Bombyx mori: one gene and its partners. The protein of the gene in region 1 binds, or shares a complex with, the protein of each later gene. Links are inferred from orthologs where the notes say so. Each region holds a gene or a part of one and is shown on either strand. Other genes may lie near its edges. The genes, in order: trafficking protein particle complex subunit 8, trafficking protein particle complex subunit 11 and trafficking protein particle complex subunit 12.

Evidence for each region.
Region 2: trafficking protein particle complex subunit 8 (region 1) and trafficking protein particle complex subunit 11 share a complex: the UniProt entries of both Homo sapiens proteins name them as parts of the multisubunit TRAPP (transport protein particle) complex. The link is inferred for Bombyx mori from reciprocal best matches to the Homo sapiens genes TRAPPC8 and TRAPPC11.
Region 3: trafficking protein particle complex subunit 8 (region 1) and trafficking protein particle complex subunit 12 share a complex: the UniProt entries of both Homo sapiens proteins name them as parts of the multisubunit TRAPP (transport protein particle) complex. The link is inferred for Bombyx mori from reciprocal best matches to the Homo sapiens genes TRAPPC8 and TRAPPC12.

The regions. Positions count from the first base shown.
Region 1 is NC_085111.1:9,717,580-9,723,433, reverse strand, and holds part of trafficking protein particle complex subunit 8, read right to left. Parts: intron 5,508-5,854; coding exon 5,219-5,507; intron 4,929-5,218; coding exon 4,784-4,928; intron 3,985-4,783; coding exon 3,897-3,984; intron 3,085-3,896; coding exon 2,993-3,084; intron 1,733-2,992; coding exon 1,544-1,732; intron 998-1,543; coding exon 897-997; intron 721-896; coding exon 472-720; intron 1-471. UniProt on the Homo sapiens protein: Plays a role in endoplasmic reticulum to Golgi apparatus trafficking at a very early stage. Maintains together with TBC1D14 the cycling pool of ATG9 required for initiation of autophagy. Involved in collagen secretion.
Region 2 is NC_085125.1:14,659,098-14,665,692, reverse strand, and holds trafficking protein particle complex subunit 11, read right to left. Parts: upstream 3,939-6,595; 5' UTR 3,750-3,938; coding exon 438-3,749; 3' UTR 317-437; downstream 1-316. Other genes in the region: proteasome beta subunit, read left to right, coding at 1-240. UniProt on the Homo sapiens protein: Involved in endoplasmic reticulum to Golgi apparatus trafficking at a very early stage.
Region 3 is NC_085126.1:10,492,702-10,498,555, forward strand, and holds part of trafficking protein particle complex subunit 12, read right to left. Parts: intron 5,002-5,854; coding exon 4,844-5,001; intron 4,440-4,843; coding exon 4,296-4,439; intron 2,955-4,295; coding exon 2,808-2,954; intron 1,871-2,807; coding exon 1,704-1,870; intron 388-1,703; coding exon 264-387; intron 1-263. UniProt on the Homo sapiens protein: Component of the TRAPP complex, which is involved in endoplasmic reticulum to Golgi apparatus trafficking at a very early stage.

The DNA of each region.
Region 1 (5,854 bases):
TGACTCTTTACAAAACTTACATAAGTCCGGTCATGACCGCCTATGCAAGTAGTGTTCGCTCAGGCGGCCCGCACTAACTTAAAACCCTTTCAAATTATTCAATCCCGTTTTTTCAGGATAGGCGCCGAAGCACCGTGGTTCGTGCGAAACATGGATCTTCACGATGACCAGGAACTTTGTTCCATCAATAAGTATGTTCAGTCGGCATCAGTACACCATTTCGAAAAAGCGGCGCAGCACGATAACTGTTGTGACCGCCGGTAACTGCATTCCCGATCCTGCGGACCGAACGGTAAACAGTTACCGTCGCCCTATACACGCTACTTCGGATCCTCCGGATCCACTATCGGTGCTTTTAGGGTCCCCCAAAAACCTGTCACCATTGTCGTCGAACCGGTCGTTTGCTAAATAACCTTCGTAATAACTCAATAAAATGTTTTATTATTTAAATTTCTGGCGGTTTCAATTTACCTGCAAGTATTAAGATATGTAACGATGCTTTCTTCTAAATATCCATGAGTTTTACGATTGGAATCACCAGCCATAAAAGCACTTATTGCGGCCATTTCGAGCGCACCCGCGTAACAGAGCCACGCGCTGTCCGCATAGAACTCTCTTTTGGCAGTGTGGTAGGTATCGAAAGCCCGCTGCCATTGCCCGCACAAAAACCAAAGATCGCCCAAACGTCGTAACTGTAGTTCGGGACAGTCATTTGTGTATCTAAAAAAGAAAAACACAAGTGATTAATAGTTAAAATATTTTTATATTTTTCCTCTTTTTTTCAGTCCACAGACATCTACTGCTAAAGATAGGCCCCCTCGTGATAAATACTTTAAAAAAATCAGTGAAATTAAAAACCAAAAATAAATAAGCTTCAAAGAAAATCGAGTACTTACACAACTGCACTATTTCCGGTAGCATTTCCACCTTTACCAGTGCCGAACCATCTTTTTGTAGCAGAGAGAAGCGATCTACTTACTCCTTTTCTGTTGGCTACCTAAATTAATATAACTATTTGTTTAGCATTTGTCGATTTGATTCTTGACTAGGCAACTGTTACTTAATTGTTTATAGTACTTTCGGACTTCCATAAACTTTAACCGGTTTAAAGAGCAGGGCAGCCGTTTCATTAATGTAATTAAGATCTTAATCTCATGCCTCAAGGTTTAAAACGGCATTCACGTTCTGGTGCCTGTGGACCCCAGAAGCAAGTCTGCACATCTTATGTGTAAAGTTACTATGTTCATATAATGAGTATTACTAAAGCTGCTTTTAAGTTAATTGAATTTCTTTGTAATTTATGGGATATAAGTTTGAATCCTTGCAAATAAATTCGAATATAAAGTTTCGCTTGAAATTCGTTCTTTAATAGATTATAGACCAACCACATCATTATCAACACCAACGACCTTTAACTACGGTTACCTTCATTCGCATATATAAAAATATGTTACAAGAATTTCCTGCATGATCAATAAATGATAGATTTTTTTTCTAGAATATTACTAAGGATAAAATATTATTGTTAGTACTGTGAACCTACTGATTCAGATAGCTGGGAGATTTGCTTTTCTATGTACGGCAGCAAGGCTTTTGATGCATATTCTTGAAGGAATTTTTTGATGGCCTCTATATCGTTGTTGTTTAAAGCAGCCCCATGAACTTCAGTAGACAAATCAATTCCTTTTGCGCTGACGCTAACACTCTCTACACTGCCAGAAAACGAATGGGTCTGAAACATTTTCGACGAATCAATTTAGGTGGATATTCAAAATAAGATAAACCTTTGAATAAAACTATATAAATAGGCAAAAAATTGAAGTTTTAGTACATTATTTCATCATTCATTATAATAATGTAAATGTAGTATAATAATATGTTATTTGAAATTTACTCTGCTATAGATCTGAAAATATTGTGCAAAATATGTTGGCATTTTGATTTCGACATAGGTAAAATAAGATAAACATATTAAGATTATAATCTTATAAAATTTTCCACCACACAATTTCACTGGTGGTAGGACCTCTTGTGAGTCCGGGTAGGTACCACCGCCCTGCCTATTTCTGCCGTGAAGCAATAATGCGTTTCGGTCTGAAGGGTAGGGCAACCGCTGTAACTGTACTGAAATCTTAGAACTTATATCTCAAGGTGGGTGGCGCATTTATGTTGTAGTTGTCTATGGGCTCCAGTAACCACTTAATACCAGGTGGGCTATGAGATCGTCCACCCATCTAAGCAATAAAAAAAAAAGTTCTATAAAAGATAAGCACTTCCTAATATTATAAACTTAAATAAAATAAATAGTAGGTATATTTTGTCTTTATGAGTTCCTATACCGTTCATCTAATTGTGGTGTAACTTAGTACCGTCACGGCCGGATTTAGAGGTATGGAGACCTCGGGGCAACAGAGGAACGGCGGCCCCTTGAGCCCCACATTATTTTCCAAACAAAATGAGCGATTTTTTTCAGTCGAATTTTCCAATAAATAATTTATTGTGAAACCACGTAGATTCCCTTAGTATTTAACAAACATACATAAATATAAACGGAGACAAGAGTTATCTGAAATTAAATTTTAGTGTTAACTTTAAGTAAAACAGAGAAAAAAAGTATATCGACGGAGAAAGAAAAGATGTTTACTAGTGTTTACTTGTCGGAATTTGAAAGATTTTTTTTCCAAAGTCTCTATTGCGGGGGCTCTCCGTTTGTGGAGGCCCCGGGACTTTCACCCCGGTTACCCTCCCTTAAATGCAGCCCTGAGTACAGTAGTTGTCGGTAGTTCTAAGAAGGTTATAGAATATCATAGTTCCATTAACGTACGACAGGGGGTGCGTGAATAATTTAACGATAGTCACGGCGGGGCGTGACTGGGTTCTACTAGTATTAATATTATAATAACTTTGTTTTTAACATGTCAACCGTCCATTGAATATATTTACTTTATTTAAGGATAAGAATTTTACTTTGCATTTTAGGATCTCCCCCTACCTGCAAACTGTTGGCATTGTCATAAACATCTGTTTCTGGGCTTGTCAGTGGGTGCACACTCTCTTGTACTGACCCTGTTAATGTGTCTTCACCTTAATAAAACGAGAGCATAATTGTTTCTATTAATTTGATATCTAATTAATAGCTGTTAGTATTGTGTATTGACATAGCAATCTTTTCAAATTTAAACTTTTCGTGTTAATCAAACGTAACTACTATCTGTATTTTGTAATAGAATTATGTTTCCTATAGGTAATTAATTTTAATCCAAAAACTATATTAATATATTTGTGATAGGTATGACAAAATTGTGATATTTTTTGGCTTAGTCGTCATCCGTGACTACGAAAACTGGAAAAGTAAGAAATAATTTTACGACGATAAAAAACGCGAGTTTAAACCGTAGAGGTGGCTCTAATTATGTCTATGACTCACGAAAGGCTCAGCAAATACTGTATTTAAGCCTATTCAATATTTTCCAGATATAAATAAGCGAAACTGAAGCTACTTAAGATCACGTGACTAAAACACTTAGGAGTGTGCCTAGGGCGAGTTTTTTAACGTTTGCCGCTAGGGGCGCTGTTCCAACTCCATACATTGTATATTTGAGTTAACTTTTACGCTATCGAGAACGTTAAAAACTAGCACTAAGTGCACAGAGCACGCGGCGTCACGTTTTGTAGATTTGAAACACCTACAACTTAGACATAAAAACTTATAACCCTAACATTAACCTTAACAAAAAATCGGACAGTTTTAAAAATCGTGCCGTCAACGACAACAACAACCGATTTAAAGGTTGGCTGCGCAAAGAAATATTTGGGAAATAAAATTTACAACTTGTTTGTAATGATTACTATATCTTTGTGTAGTGATATGCTCAAAATTTAAAATCAACACTAACCTCTTTCAATAATGTTTTGAGATGGAAATATAGGGGCTTGTTCTGCTGGCGTTGTTGCTAAATTCGAGAAGATAGAAGCTACGTCACTCTGAAATCGAATACGTAAAGTATACGCAATATACATAATTAACCAAATTACCATGAAATTAATTATATTAATGCTATTATACTGGTAAATCGGTTCAGAAGCTATAACCCTTTTTTTGCATGTTTCGTTTCTACCTCATATCTTAAGGTGGGTGATAGCATTCTCGTTTTGATGTCCTCGGATAACCACTTTCGGATAACCTTGGATAACCACTTTACACCACGTGAGCTGTGAGCTGTTTCATTCAGCTACGCAATGAATAAAGCCGTAACAGTTTGTTTGTAACGCGTTACGCATCGTACCTCTACGATGCAGAAATATATAGACACAGTGCGTCCCTACTTTCCTTTACCTAAGATGAAAACTATGCGCACATTATGCTAGACTGTCGTAAAAGTGAAACTGGGCTTTTTAAGATGACACCTTGCTCACGCTAGGTTGGTTTTGTTACATTAAATAAAGAAAACTATTCTAATATTTTTGTTATAGTATTAAGAAGCTATATTGTCTTTGCATTTAATTCAAATTTATAATTTATATTTGCATTTACCACGTTTCTTTTTGAATATTATAATTTTGTCACACCTAATTCTCATTTATTTGGACACTTTATTTTAATCTAGATAAATAGTAATTTAATTATGTTTTTATTGCCCTGATAGGCAAACGGCCAGACAGCCCATCTGATGATGAGTGGTTACTGTGGCTTATGGACGTTAGCAATCCCAGGGGAAAACCCATGTCACTGCCTACCAAAAATTTTAATTAGTTTCATTCTGTCATAGAAAAATTTACATACGGTGGAATCTGGAGATCTCTTAATATACTGGCTCCATAAATCTGCAGGTACATTAGCATCTGACGTACTTTTAGAATTAATGGGAAGCATAAAACAACTATTAGGTCCAAAAGCATGTTTCAACGTGTCAAACACAGCATCAGCCCTTTAACATAAATAAAATACAATGGCATTAACTTAAATAATTTTCGATATTATGTTTTTTTTTTTATTGCTTTTGTAGGCAGACGGGCATACGGCTGATGGTGAGTGGTTACCGTCGCCCATGGACTTCAGCAATGCCAGGGGCAGAGCCAAGCCGCTGCCTACCGAAACACCTATGTCACATTCCAGCGGCGGAATTCACATTGTGGTGGATTTCAGTAAGAACCTAACATCAGTTGAGCCGCACTCTCATCTGACCATCTATATTATTGACGGAAATAAAGAACATACCTTTCTTTTGAAACAACAGATACATCATGAAGTAGTAAATATGTTTTCAGAATACAATTGTTGAACCATTTAGGCAATTTTGGTGGCATTACATTCTGTAGTTGGGCATATTGTTGATTCAGGCCATTGAAAGTGTCCACAACATTTTCGTCATCAGTTGTTCCCACAATAATACATGACAGGAAATGTTTTGTGAATTCATGGTCAGATGGAAATTGCACATCTAGGTATGTTTCCCTCCAAGCATCAAACCAATGTGTTGATTGGGGTATTAAAAAACTTCGACCAGCTAAAATATGTGTTAAAAAAATATTATTTTTCATTGTTATTTTAATGTTTTTCAACAAAATCAAAACACTCTTCAATTGCTAAACTAAGCATAATTCATCACCCATAGACAAATACTATAAAATCTACTTAAAATATTGATTTTAAAATTAAATTGCATTTTGATACTTATATACACATAAATATGTAGGTATTTTTTAGAATTGCATGGTTTATTTATTTTTGGTAAACTAACTACTGTTTAGAAGTTTCCACGGTTTGTAAGTTCCACAAGGTGAATTATCCTTTTGACATTCAAAATCAGTCCTTGCTGCATTGATGCAATGGGTGATTTACCCTTCAAACCAG
Region 2 (6,595 bases), on another chromosome or scaffold:
TTCCGCGCTGGTGGTTCCGCTGCTGCACAGCTGCAACCGCTCCTCGACAATCAAATTGGCTTAAAGAATATGCAGAATGTAACAGAAGCTCCTTTGCCTAGGGAAAAGGCCCTTGCTCTTCTGAAGGATGTGTTCATCAGTGCTGCAGAACGTGACATTTACACTGGAGACTCCATCTACATTCTCATCATCACTGCAAGTGGTATTCAAGAAGAGAAATTTGAACTTCGCAAAGATTAATTTGTTACAAAAAAAAGTAATAAATATTTCATACAAGAAAATAATTTTGTTACTTATATTTCTGAATAAAAACTCATTTATAACAAATAACAAAATTTATTTATTTTTAATTATAAGGTAACTTTATTAGATCTAAAAATTTGTTCAATTATATACAGTTATTAACTCAACATTGTAATTGCAATTTACATTCTGATTTAATTATTGTACTTAGGCACAACGAAAATAGTTTCAGGGAAAGCTTTTTCAAACATTTCACTGACTGCATCCTGACTTGAATTATCACCTATGACTGTTGCAGTAATTCTAGGGGGCATTGTGTTACCAGCAAATAAGGGACGGATATTATATTTTAGCTCTACTTGTCCCTTGGGTGGGACCATTACTGATAGTTTCTTGTATCCAGAAAATATATAGTCATCTGTCCATTTCACTACAAGACTGAGTCTTATTGGAGTGTTTGTGTTTCCTTTTAAAATACATTTGAGTGGAACTGATGTTAGTAGTTCTATTACAGCAGGGTAGTCTACTTTCACTGAGACAGGACATTGATCTATAGGCAGTCCTGATAAAGCAGTGCTGCTCATCACACAGAGCCCATGAAGATTAGATTTCCGTCGCCAAGTTATGTTGTACAAACCAACTCGAGTTGGATTATCTTTAGGATTGTATTTAGCTTGAATACAAATTGCATCTGAAGCTATGTTTTTCTCTGCCACTTCTAGATTTCTGATGCAGGATATAGGCTTAGTTTTGTCTGTATTTTTAAATGAATCGACCACCTCTAATTCTGTGTCAATTATTAAAAGATCCCAAGGACTTAAAATTTTAATTTGTGGCATGACAATAAAGGGGTCATCAACAAAGCATTTAGAAATAGGACTAAAGTCTGTACTAACAAATGCACTGGTTACTTCAAAAGGTTTGATGACAGTTATTTTACATGTAAAATCTTTCATGCACTCTAGTTTCTTGATTGCAGGAAGGTCTATGATGTATGATATTCTAATTTGAACTGTTATTGTGGCTGTTCTGTTTGTTTTTAAGTAGAATGTATTAGTGTGAGTTCCTGATCTGTTAACATTGCCCACAGAAATATGTAAAGGTTGTAACTGAGCTTCACCTTCCTTCAAACTTAAATCTGTTACTGACTCAGGGTTAGGATTTTCAGGTGAACTTAATAAAGATAATGCTATCTTTGTACTAGATACAGCAATTTCCTCATTGTTTGTTACTGTGAAAGTGGTTGGAAACCATTCTCCCTGTAGAGCAGGACTACAATTTGTAACTTCAATGGACCATTTACACTCTCTTGATGTTACTGAAGCTACTCTCAAAGGCACAATGCAATCAAATTCATAGTCAGATTTAGGGCTCATGATGAAGTGTAACAATTCTGGATGTATAATTGACTCTGACTTCTTGTCATCAGTTTTAAAATTCAATATAATTTTTCTTTTCCTTTCAGAATCAAGAACAAAAGATACACATTTTATCTGTAAATCTGATCCAACATCCTTGGGATTAGGTTTGAACTGACACAAAAACCTTTTCACTTTGCTCCCTTCTAATGTTATGGTCTGATTAATATCATCAGTTACTGGGATCTCAATAGTCTCAGATTGACTTGATATTGTCAAATACACCTTCTTTACTTCTAGGACAGCTGGATATGTTAGCCTAACATACAGTTCCACTTCAATTAACTCATCCATTCTATATTTCATCTGTTTGAATTTAGGTTTGATTTCCAAAAAACTGGAGATGTTGGCCATATCCACAGCAACCTGCAAAGGCTCTTTTTCGATCATGGACTGCCACAATTCCACAGCTTTGCTTTGAGAAGAGGATGGCAGGTCGGGTTCAGGAGCTGGAATGTTTAAATGTATAACAGACATTATATTTCTGAATATCCTATCTTTATCATTGTTTGGCACCTGGATATTTTTAGAGAGTGCTTCAATTGACAGCTGTAAATAGTCTTGTATTTTTGCTGCAAGGTATGCACACTGCAGAGCTCTGTTCAAGACATGTGAAGCTAAATACCACCATTTTTCTCTCCTGTAATCCCACAACATGTGAGTCAGCAAAGTTAGTGCTTTCCCATAGTCAGCAGAATAAAAATATTCATTTGCCATTTCAACTACTAGTTGCTTCCTCATTCTAGGAGAGTGAAATGACTTAAACTGTGAGATAGCACTGCCAAGGAAGCTGATGATGATTGTAGAATGATTGAATATCCTTTCATTGTATTGTAGAGCTAAGATAGCTGCCTGTTCTTTTTGAGGGTCATGAGGATCTGCACTTAAACGACCAGGTCTCCAAGGTCGCTGACCATAATATTCTAGAATACCATCTAAAGGATCTGGAGCAGGTGGATACTGTAATGCTTCAGCACAAAGAGAGCGCATAGCCTGTCTTCTTTTTACAGTAAACTGAGCTGCATGCTGGTAGTAAAACCCAGGATGCTGAGATTGAATGGCTGGCAGACCAGCCCTGATAGCTTCATCAAAAAGTTCTCCAAAGGCACTGTACTGTCTAGCTAGCCACGCATAATGTTCAAACAGTAGGTCAGTAGAACCAACTCTACTTTTGTATTTCTCAATGTGAGATTTTAATTGTGAAATTGCATCTCTTGGCAAATTTAATGCAAAAAGTATCTTGCACAGTTTGTAGTTAATATAGCCAGCAACTGTTCTAACTTCATGCAGGTTTGTATCTACTGTTCTTGTTTCCAGCAGGTTGTTGTAAGCATGAACATAATGCTTATGTGCAGTATTGATGTCCTGCTTCAACTCATTCAGATAGCCCAGTTTGAACTGATGTCTGACAAAGAGATACTGATGTGTTGTTTTATTGAGGTGGTCTCTGTGCTGCTTAATGTTTTTTGCTTCATGGTGGTAATAATTTTGTGCAATATCATAAAATGCATTTTCTAACCGGACTATATAACCCATTAAGTGATCACCATGAGGAAGCACAAACAAGGATTTAGACTGGATCTCACAAGCAGCACAAAGTGCCTGGGCACGCTCGGCTCCAAGCATGTACTCAGAAGGAGGAGGAGATTGCCGACTTTGTATGACTACTACAGCCACACGAGTAGCATGTCCCTCTACTGCAGCACGGATAGACTGGACTTTGGATGCACATTCTATAATTTTCTCATTCCACTGTGTATCATTCCAATCCATATCATAGAAAATGACTATGACAGCGGGTATTAGCGATACACGCTTGTGTATCCAGTTTTTTTTTAGTATGCCTTTAGGTATGTACCATTCGTATGAATTTCTCTTAGGCTTTACCACTGGAAACTCAAACGTATTGTTAAGTAATTTGAATCTCACAGGCGTGCGATCAGCGCGTCGGTTATTCGCGAATGCGTCCCAGATTTCTTTGTGAACGGCATTGTTAACTGCATCAAGTCCAGATAGTCCTATCAGAGCCAGAGGTTTCAGAATGATCTCCGTAGGGAATTCGGTATAATCATTAGGCTGGGTAGCCATTTTATATGAGCTTAATCATGCAGTAGTATAGCACACTTTAACTTCTAAATACTATTTTAAACATCTCAAATATCACGGTGAACACAAATTCAGATTCTTCTACACGACAGTGACACCCCCATCATTCGTTTCACAAATTTTTAACGTAAAACGTCAGGGAGTAATGTCAAAAGTAAAATTGAAAGCTTTGCTTTGACGTCTGACGTTTTAGAAAGATTTAGTATGTAAGTCGTAAATAGCAGTAGCCATAGAAAAAAATGTACCTGAGGGAGCTCATATAGAGTCCCTTCTTTATTTCGCCTGGTTGTGTTTTATGTAATTAACACCACAGTTGGAACAATATTAATTTTATTGTTGTAGCGGCATAAAGTAATTACATTAAATTAGTTATTTAACTCATTATAAATTATTTTTATGTTTTTCATATTTGGCGGTAAAAAAGGTATTGTGGCACAGACTATCTCCTTTTTCCCACATCTCGTGCGTTCCGGCTTACGCATAATAAAACGCCACACCACCCCCCTACGGAGAAGGAGAATCCGCAGAAAAAGAGAAAAATTATCATAGGTCGAAAGGTTTGGAGAAGTGGACTCTGCGACCTGACCGGGTGGTATATTGAGGTGTATGTGTAGGAGTAGCAGTTAGAGGTGCCGAAGGCACGAGTGGACATGAAGGGACATTAGTAGCATCCGGTTGCGCTGGTTGAGGCACAGAAACCCGCGGTGCTGGGGCTGGAACGAGATCTACTAAAGAATGCTCGACGAAAGCTGGCTTAATTCTGTCGACACTGACCGTCACCTGTTTCCCTTTTACATCAATCGACCACGTTTTTCCGTCCTCGGCTCTAGATATAACTCTATGAGGACCAGAGTAAGGTGGTTGCATTGAACGTCTAACCGAATCCTCCCTGAGCATGACATGAGAGGCGGTGGAAAGATTTTTAAATATGAAAGGTGATGGTTTAGTGTGTGAGGAACATGGAGTGGGACGCAATTTAGACATACGCTGTCTTAACTTTACGACAAAATCCGTCGGGTCCTCGAAACCAGAAGGACCGGGAGGTACTAACAGTTCCCCTGGAAGCGTTAATGTTTCTCCGTAAAGCAATTCCGCTACTGTTGCTTGTAGATCTTCTTTAAAAGCTGAACGCATTCCTAATAAGACCAAAGGTAATGCATTCAACCACGAATCATCATAACACATCAGAGAGGCCTTTAATTGTCTATGCATGCGCTCCACGAGCCCATTGGCACAAGGGTGGTAACTAGTAGTGCGTATACGTTTAGTACCACATAAATTAGTAAGGCGTCTGAAAAGGTCCGACTCGAACTGTCGTCCCTGGTCGGTAGTGATGACAGCAGGTACTCCGAATCGAGCAATCCAACCGGCTACAAAGGTGCTCGCCACTTCTTCTGCTGTTATTCCGTGCATAGGCCAAACTTCGGGCCATCGAGTGTAGCGATCCACAGCAGTCAGGCAGTATTGGAAGTCAGAACAAGATGGAAGAGGGCCTATGATGTCAATATGGACATGCTTCAGTCGAGACGTAGGACTGGAGAAGTGTCCAAGTGGAGATTTTATATGCCGCGTCACCTTACTTCGCTGGCAAGCAACGCAGGTTTGGCACCAATAACGGCAATCTTTGGCAATGCCAGGCCACACGAAACGGTCTGAGATCAATCGAATGGTTGATCTAGTACCAGGATGGCTAAGATTATGTAGCTGAGCAAAAATCTTCTTTCGCATAGGTTCCGATACAAATGGGCGTGGTCGCCCTGTTGACATGTCGCAGACCAAAACAGTGTTTGTGCCAGGAACTACGACGTTCTCTAGTTTTAGAGAAGAATTCGCATCGTTACGATACTTTTTCAATTCGTCGTCAAGTTTTTGGCAAGCGGAGAGAGCAGAATGGTCAGTTTCAAAACTAACAGCTTCGATGCGGGACATGGCGTCTGCCACCGTATTGTCCACCCCTTTTATATGGACAATGTCCGTGGTAAACTGCGAAATAAAAGACAGTTGATTTAACTGTACCGGAGGAAGCCTTTCGCGACGTTGCGAGAACGCGTAAACTAATGGCTTATGGTCCGTATAAATCGTTACGTGCTGTGCGGCTAGGAAGTGTCGATAATGTTGCACACTCTCATATACCGCAAGAAGTTCTCGGTAGTATGCTGGCCACTGGCACTGTCGGGGGTTCAGCTTTTTATTAAAGAAACCCAGGGGTTGCCAAGCATCATCGACTTTCTGCTGAAGGCAGGCACCAACGTGAGAACTGGAAGCGTCGGTGAAAAGCCCTAGTACAGCGTTAGGCAAAGGGTGTGCCAACAGAGCTGCAGATGACAAGCTATCTTTACAGGCATTAAAGCATTCTTCGAGCTCAGGTGTCCAAGTGATCGGTGTGAGACCTTTACCTCCAGTGGCCACGATCGCGTTGACTAGCGGTGCTTGTAACTTGGCCGCATTGCGCAGAAATCGATGATAATAATTAACCATCCCAATGAAACGACGGAGTCCTTGTACAGTCTGTGGTAGAGGAAAATCTTTTAGAGCTTGAATGCGCTCTGATGGTGGTTGTGTTCCGTCGGCAGATATTCTGTTTCCGAGAAAAGTAACTTCGGGAGCACCAAACACGCATTTTGCTGGATTTATAACGATTCCGTAATCTTCAAATCGCTTGAAAAGAGTACGAAGGTGTGCAGCATGTTGAAGAGCATCACGGGAATACACTAATATGTCGTCAACGTACGCAAAGCAAAAATCGAGACCTTGCACAACTTCTATAAATTTATTCTATTCTATAAATCTTTGAAACGTTTGGCCTGCGTTGCGCAGACCAAAAGTCA
Region 3 (5,854 bases), on another chromosome or scaffold:
AAACGCGACCCACTGAGAAGATCCGGCGAGAAACTCAGTGGGCTGTGTCTGTGGGTTAATTTACTAGGTTGAGGTACCTAAAAGCACCGTTAGTAGATCGGGAGGATCCGAAACGACGTGTTTTGGGCGACGTCGACTGCTTTCCATTCTGTCCGCAGGATCGGGAATGCAAGGACTACTACAGTGTGGCAACAGTGAAGCAATCACTCAAGTAACATGTTCACGGGTGCTCACGAACGGTAGAGTTTAAGAACGAGCCGCACCATAATGTTCGTGGGTTCCTGGTCGGCCGCCCTCACGAAGTCGTTGTAGGCGTCTTCGTACTTCCCCTGAGCCATCGCCACCAGCCCGAGGTCCACGTACTCGCGCACGTCGGGCGTCGGACATCTGCAGACATCGCAACCCACCATCAGCGTGACCCCGCCACCCCGGAGAGTCCATACACATCAATTACTGGTGATAGGACCTCTTGCGAGTCCGTGCGGCTAGGTACCACCACCCCGCCTATTTCTGCCGTGAAGCAGTGATTTCGGTTTGAAGGGCGGAGCAGCCGTTGCAACTATACTGAGACCTTAGAACTTATATCTCAAGATGTCTATGGCCTCCATTAACCACTTAACACCAGGTGAGCTGTGAGCTCGTCTACCCATCTAATCAATAAATAAAAAAACATGACGAGACGGTCAGTCTTAATATCAAATCGGAACGCACGTCGGCTTCGCGGCAGAGATAGGCAGCGTGGACGTACCTACCCGCGCGAACCAATAAATAACAACAGAAAGTAAAGTACAATTAGTGTTTGTCTATATGTTCCGGGCATGACGTGGGAGGAGTTAGAACAGACTGCCCAAGACCGATACAAATGGAAAAATTTGATTCGAGCCCTACACCCCAGCAGAGGGTAATAGGAAAGCATGATGATGATGATATGTTCCGGGTGGTCAGAGATGCTATGTTTATGGGTTCCTGTAACCGCTTTACAGCATGAGGACTGTGAGCTTGATCACATCTCTATGCAATAAAAAATATTTTTTTTTTAGAAAAAACAATTACGTGACCATATATTATGTGAGATTAAGTAAATAACAGTCTTTTGGAAAAGTAGCAAAATTTCATAAATTAGCACACGTCGTAAAACGTTCATACCTCTAATGCCCGATCGCCATCTTGAACTTCTCTCTTCCGTCCCTTTCTTCCTCATACATTCATCCCTTTCACTCTAAACGTTCCGTTTCCCACATATATCGTCTTCTCGCATTAAAACAGTATAATCTCAAAACTTACTAAATTTTACAGGAGAGTGTTTTAAAGGTTTAACATGTGATATTTTTATAATAATATTAATCATCTTTGCAACATATATTTTTTAGTTTTTACAAGTTACATTATCTGTCTTTTAAAGTAAGATAAGATTATGTATTAATTTTGTTAGTTGTAGTAAAAATATAGATAAACTAAAAAAAAAAAATTAAACTAAACTACGTTCTTTTGACAATATTTATGAGAAAAATACTGGTGGTGATACCAAATGATTCCCCATATTAACTCAATTTCGAATATTTTTTGAAATTGTACACTTATAATGCGAAAAGACGGTATATGTTATTAGCTCATCGTTGACTGGCCACAAATGACGTCACACATGCCGATGTTGCATTCGGCCGCATTTAACGTTACGATTAACAGTAGCGGGTACTACTGACACGTGCGTCCGGTTCTCGGTGGCGCGGCGGCAGTGCGCACGTGCGGCCGTCACGTGCCCGGCCAGCAGCGCGAGGCGGCATAGCGCGCTGCACACGGCTCGCTTCTGACCGGCCGTGCTGCACGCCTGTTCCAACGAGGACAGCACGTTGGAAGCGTGCCTGTAATCCTGATAAATTCGATTTTTGAAGTGAAACTTCTAACGCGACTTCCAACAAGCTTGCGTTAAACGTTTAACGCCATCATAGAATAGAAAGAGACAGAGTGAGAGTGTTTGTTCCAACGACGACAGCACGTTGGAAGCGTGCTTGTAATCCTAATAAAAAATTCGATTTTCGAAGTGAAACTTCTAATGCGACTTCCAACAAGGTTGCGTTAAACGTTCAACGCTCCTGGGGAGGGGGAATAGAAAGAGACAGAGCGAGAGTGAATGCGCGTAGTATACCTGGTACAGGCCAGCGCGAGCGTTAGCAACGAGTAGCGTCCAATGTTTTAATGAAGTATTTAAAAAAAAGATTTATATATTTTTCTATCTATAATTTAAAATATATATAACATAAATGTTGAAGATGTCGCATCTCTTATACACAGCATTCCCTATTACAAGAGCAATCTGATTTAAGGATGAAAAATGAAGAAAATTACAATACTACACATCGAAAAAGAAGTTTCACTTCATTCACGTGCACCAGGTTGCACGCGCACAATTTTTTTTATTGCTTAAATGTTGCTCACGGCCACCAGGTGTTAAATGGTTACCAGGGTCCATAGACATCTACAACGTAAATGCCGCCACCCGCCTTGAGATATAAGTTCTAAGGTCTCAGTATAGTTACAACGGCTGCCCTACCCTTCAAACCAGGGACCATAGACAGGGTGGTGGTACATACCCGTGCGGACTCACAAGATGCCCTACCACCAGTAAAATTCCTGGTTTTTCAGTCTAAAATTCCATTTCCTTCTATACATTCCCAAATTCGAAGATGTTCTGAAAATCACCGCAGACTGGAGGTCAAGACGCTCCATTCACTTCGGTGCATTCGCCTCGGTGTTCGAGTCCCGCGTCGGCTAACGTTTTTTCGGTTTTTTCCCAAAACATAAATTACCTTCAGGGCTATAGCGCAGTTGACGATCGAATGATACACCCTCGTCTCCCTCCCCATCCACAAACGTATCGACTCCGCCTTATCCTGCTCCGACGAGAGGAGACCAGAGCCGTCCTCGGTCTTTCCGTCGCGGAGATTCGACAGCATCTGAATAAAGATTTTTTTTTTCCTACCTAAGCTGAGAGCCTTGAGAGGCTATTCCAGCGTAACCCTAACTAGTAGGTGAGCTCACGGGGCTCAAACCTGATGACGTTGCTAACACGAACCCTAGCAAGAGCCGTGCTTCGCAGAATCTACCACCGGATCGGAAACGCGACCCACTGAGAAGATCCGACGAGAAACTCAGTGGGCTGTGTCTGAGAGTTTTTTACTCGTCGAGCCCTTCGTCGCAAGCGACGGGTTCGACGAGAACGGTGACCGGTGCTTGAAGTACCTAAAAGCACCGTTAGTGGATCGGGAGGATCCGAGATGACGTGTTTTGGGCGACGTCGACTGCTTTCCATTCTGTCCGCAGGATCGGGAATGTAGTTACCGGCGGCCACGATGAGAGGGTTCTCGTGTCGTGCCGCTTTATCGAAGTGGCGCATGGACGCCGACTGCAGATACTTACTGATGGACTCTAAGTCCAGGTCGTCATGGAGGTCGACGTTCCTGACGAACCACGGGGCTCCGACGGCTATCCTGCAAAAACGGGATTGAATAATTTGGAAGGATTTTAAGTGAGTGCGGGCCGCGTGAGCGAACACTACACTTGCATAGGTCATGACGGGGCGTATGCAAGTTTTGTAGAGTGTCACCTTATTTCTAAGGGACATTTTACTTCGCCTACATATCATCGGGTAGAAATAAAGAAAGGCATTAACTTGGGTTTTTATCCTGTGATATATATGTCATAAGTTTGCATAAGCACTACGAAACAATACTTGATCTGAAGAAGGTTAAAACACACGTCATTACGGATCCTCCCGATCCATTAACGGTGCTTTTAGGTACCACAAGCACCAGTCACCGTCCAAAGTAAATTAACCCACAGACACAGCCCACTTATTAGTTAGTATTAGAAACGTCGTCAGGTTTGAGCCCCGTAAGCTCACCTACACGTCAAAGAGAGAAGCTGAAATAGCCTCTCAAGGTTATCAGCATAGGTAGGGAAAAAAAAGTTACAACATTAATTGTAACAATAAATATTGTTACAATATTTAAAGCATTAGATAAAAACCTGAATCGCGATAACGACATTTACAATTTGCTTGTATAAATACAAGTTCCGAGCGCCTTACGAACGTCAACTGTCAAGCAATGACAGAAGAATATGAATGATCTCAATGATCTTACCTTTGTTAATATTCCAATATAGCGGATTCTCCTCATGTTCACGTTGTGATGACCGTGGACCACATTTACCAATCGGCACAGAGTTTTGACTGCAAGCTTTATCAACACCAGAGCACCAAAAGCTACGAAACCACGACCATCATAAAAACCAACCTGCTGTATAATATCGAGCATCGCGTATAGTCTGTCCATGGACTCGTCCGGCTTGCCCACGTGCCCCGGTATCTCGGCCAGGAGTAGCCTCAGCGAGAAAGGAACGAGGGATCCCGGACGGTTCTCGTAAGACTCCGGGTAGAACTGAAATAAAATTGACCGCATTTTATGCACACGGTTATGATCAGGCTGGGGGTCAAGGGCCAAATACTCGGTAGCCTGGTTTTTACTGGTGGTAGGACCTCTTGTGAGTCCGCGCGGGTAGGCACCACCATCCTGCCTATTTCTGCCGTGAAGCAATAATGCGTTTCGGTTTGAAGGGTGCCGTTGTAACTGTACTGAGACCTTAAAACTTATATCTCAAGATGGATGGCGCATTTACGTTGTAAATGTCTATGGGCTCCGGTAACCACTTAACACCAGGGGGCTGTGAGCTCGTCCACCCATCTAAACAATAAAAAAATCCATGGACTTCAGCAATGCCAAGCTTAGAGCTTAGAGCTTGCTCAAATGGTAATAAATTCTCTGGTGTCCACATTTCGAATTACCTGGTAAAACATGTCGGGTTTGGTGCAGTCGCCGAACTGCTCCGCCTCCCTGATCAGGGGTTCATGTAGCTTGATCCTCAGCATCAGGGAGAACCTCGTCAACCAGAGCTGGAGGGAGCGCGGCGTGTGCTTCGTGGGTCTGTGCATCCGTCCCACGCCTGAGGGACAAGGTGAGATGTGAAGTGAAAGGCTTAATTACTATTGTCATCGCTAGATGGTGCTGCCTGATTCCCAACACGCGCTAACGTCAATTGTTTTTCGTTCGTATTTATAGCATCCATCTCAAAAAATTATCCGAGGTTACAACGTAGATTTCCTATGGAGTTTTTCAAGTGAGGGTCACGATCTGTCGACGGTTCGTGACCCAACGGAGTGAGACAAGTGCCAGGCAGGCAAGTAATGGTATGTTAGCCATTGGCCTATTCCGATTTCCGATCACGAATTCGGTCCTTGAGTCGATCAGTCAGTCTCAAATGGAGATAGGACGCGTAATGAATTTACTAGCATCCTTATTGCATAGATACTAGATAGGCACGAGCTCACAGTCCGCCTAGAGTTAGCTGGTATAGTAACTACCTTAATAGCTGGCACCCGCCCCTTCGGGCATACGCACATGAGAGAAGCTTCCTCCGGTCTCAATAAAATTATTTTCTTGGCGCTGAGGAAATATAGGTACATGATGGCTACGTAAATGCTCATAAAAAATACGTTCATGTTAAAGTTTTTTTTATTGCATAAGAGGGTGGACAAGCTCACGGCCCACCTGGTGTTAAGTGGTTACTGGAGCCCATAGACATCTACAACGTAAATGCCACTACCCACCTTAAGATATGAGTTCTAAGGTCTCAGTATAGTTACAACGGCTGCCCCACCCTTCAAACCGAAACGCATTACTGCTTCACCGCAGAAATAGGCAGGGTGGTGGTACCTAACCGTGCGAACTCACAAGAGGTCCTACCACTGCCCTGCCTATTTCTGCCGTGAAGTAGATTGTGTATGGGCTCCAGTAAC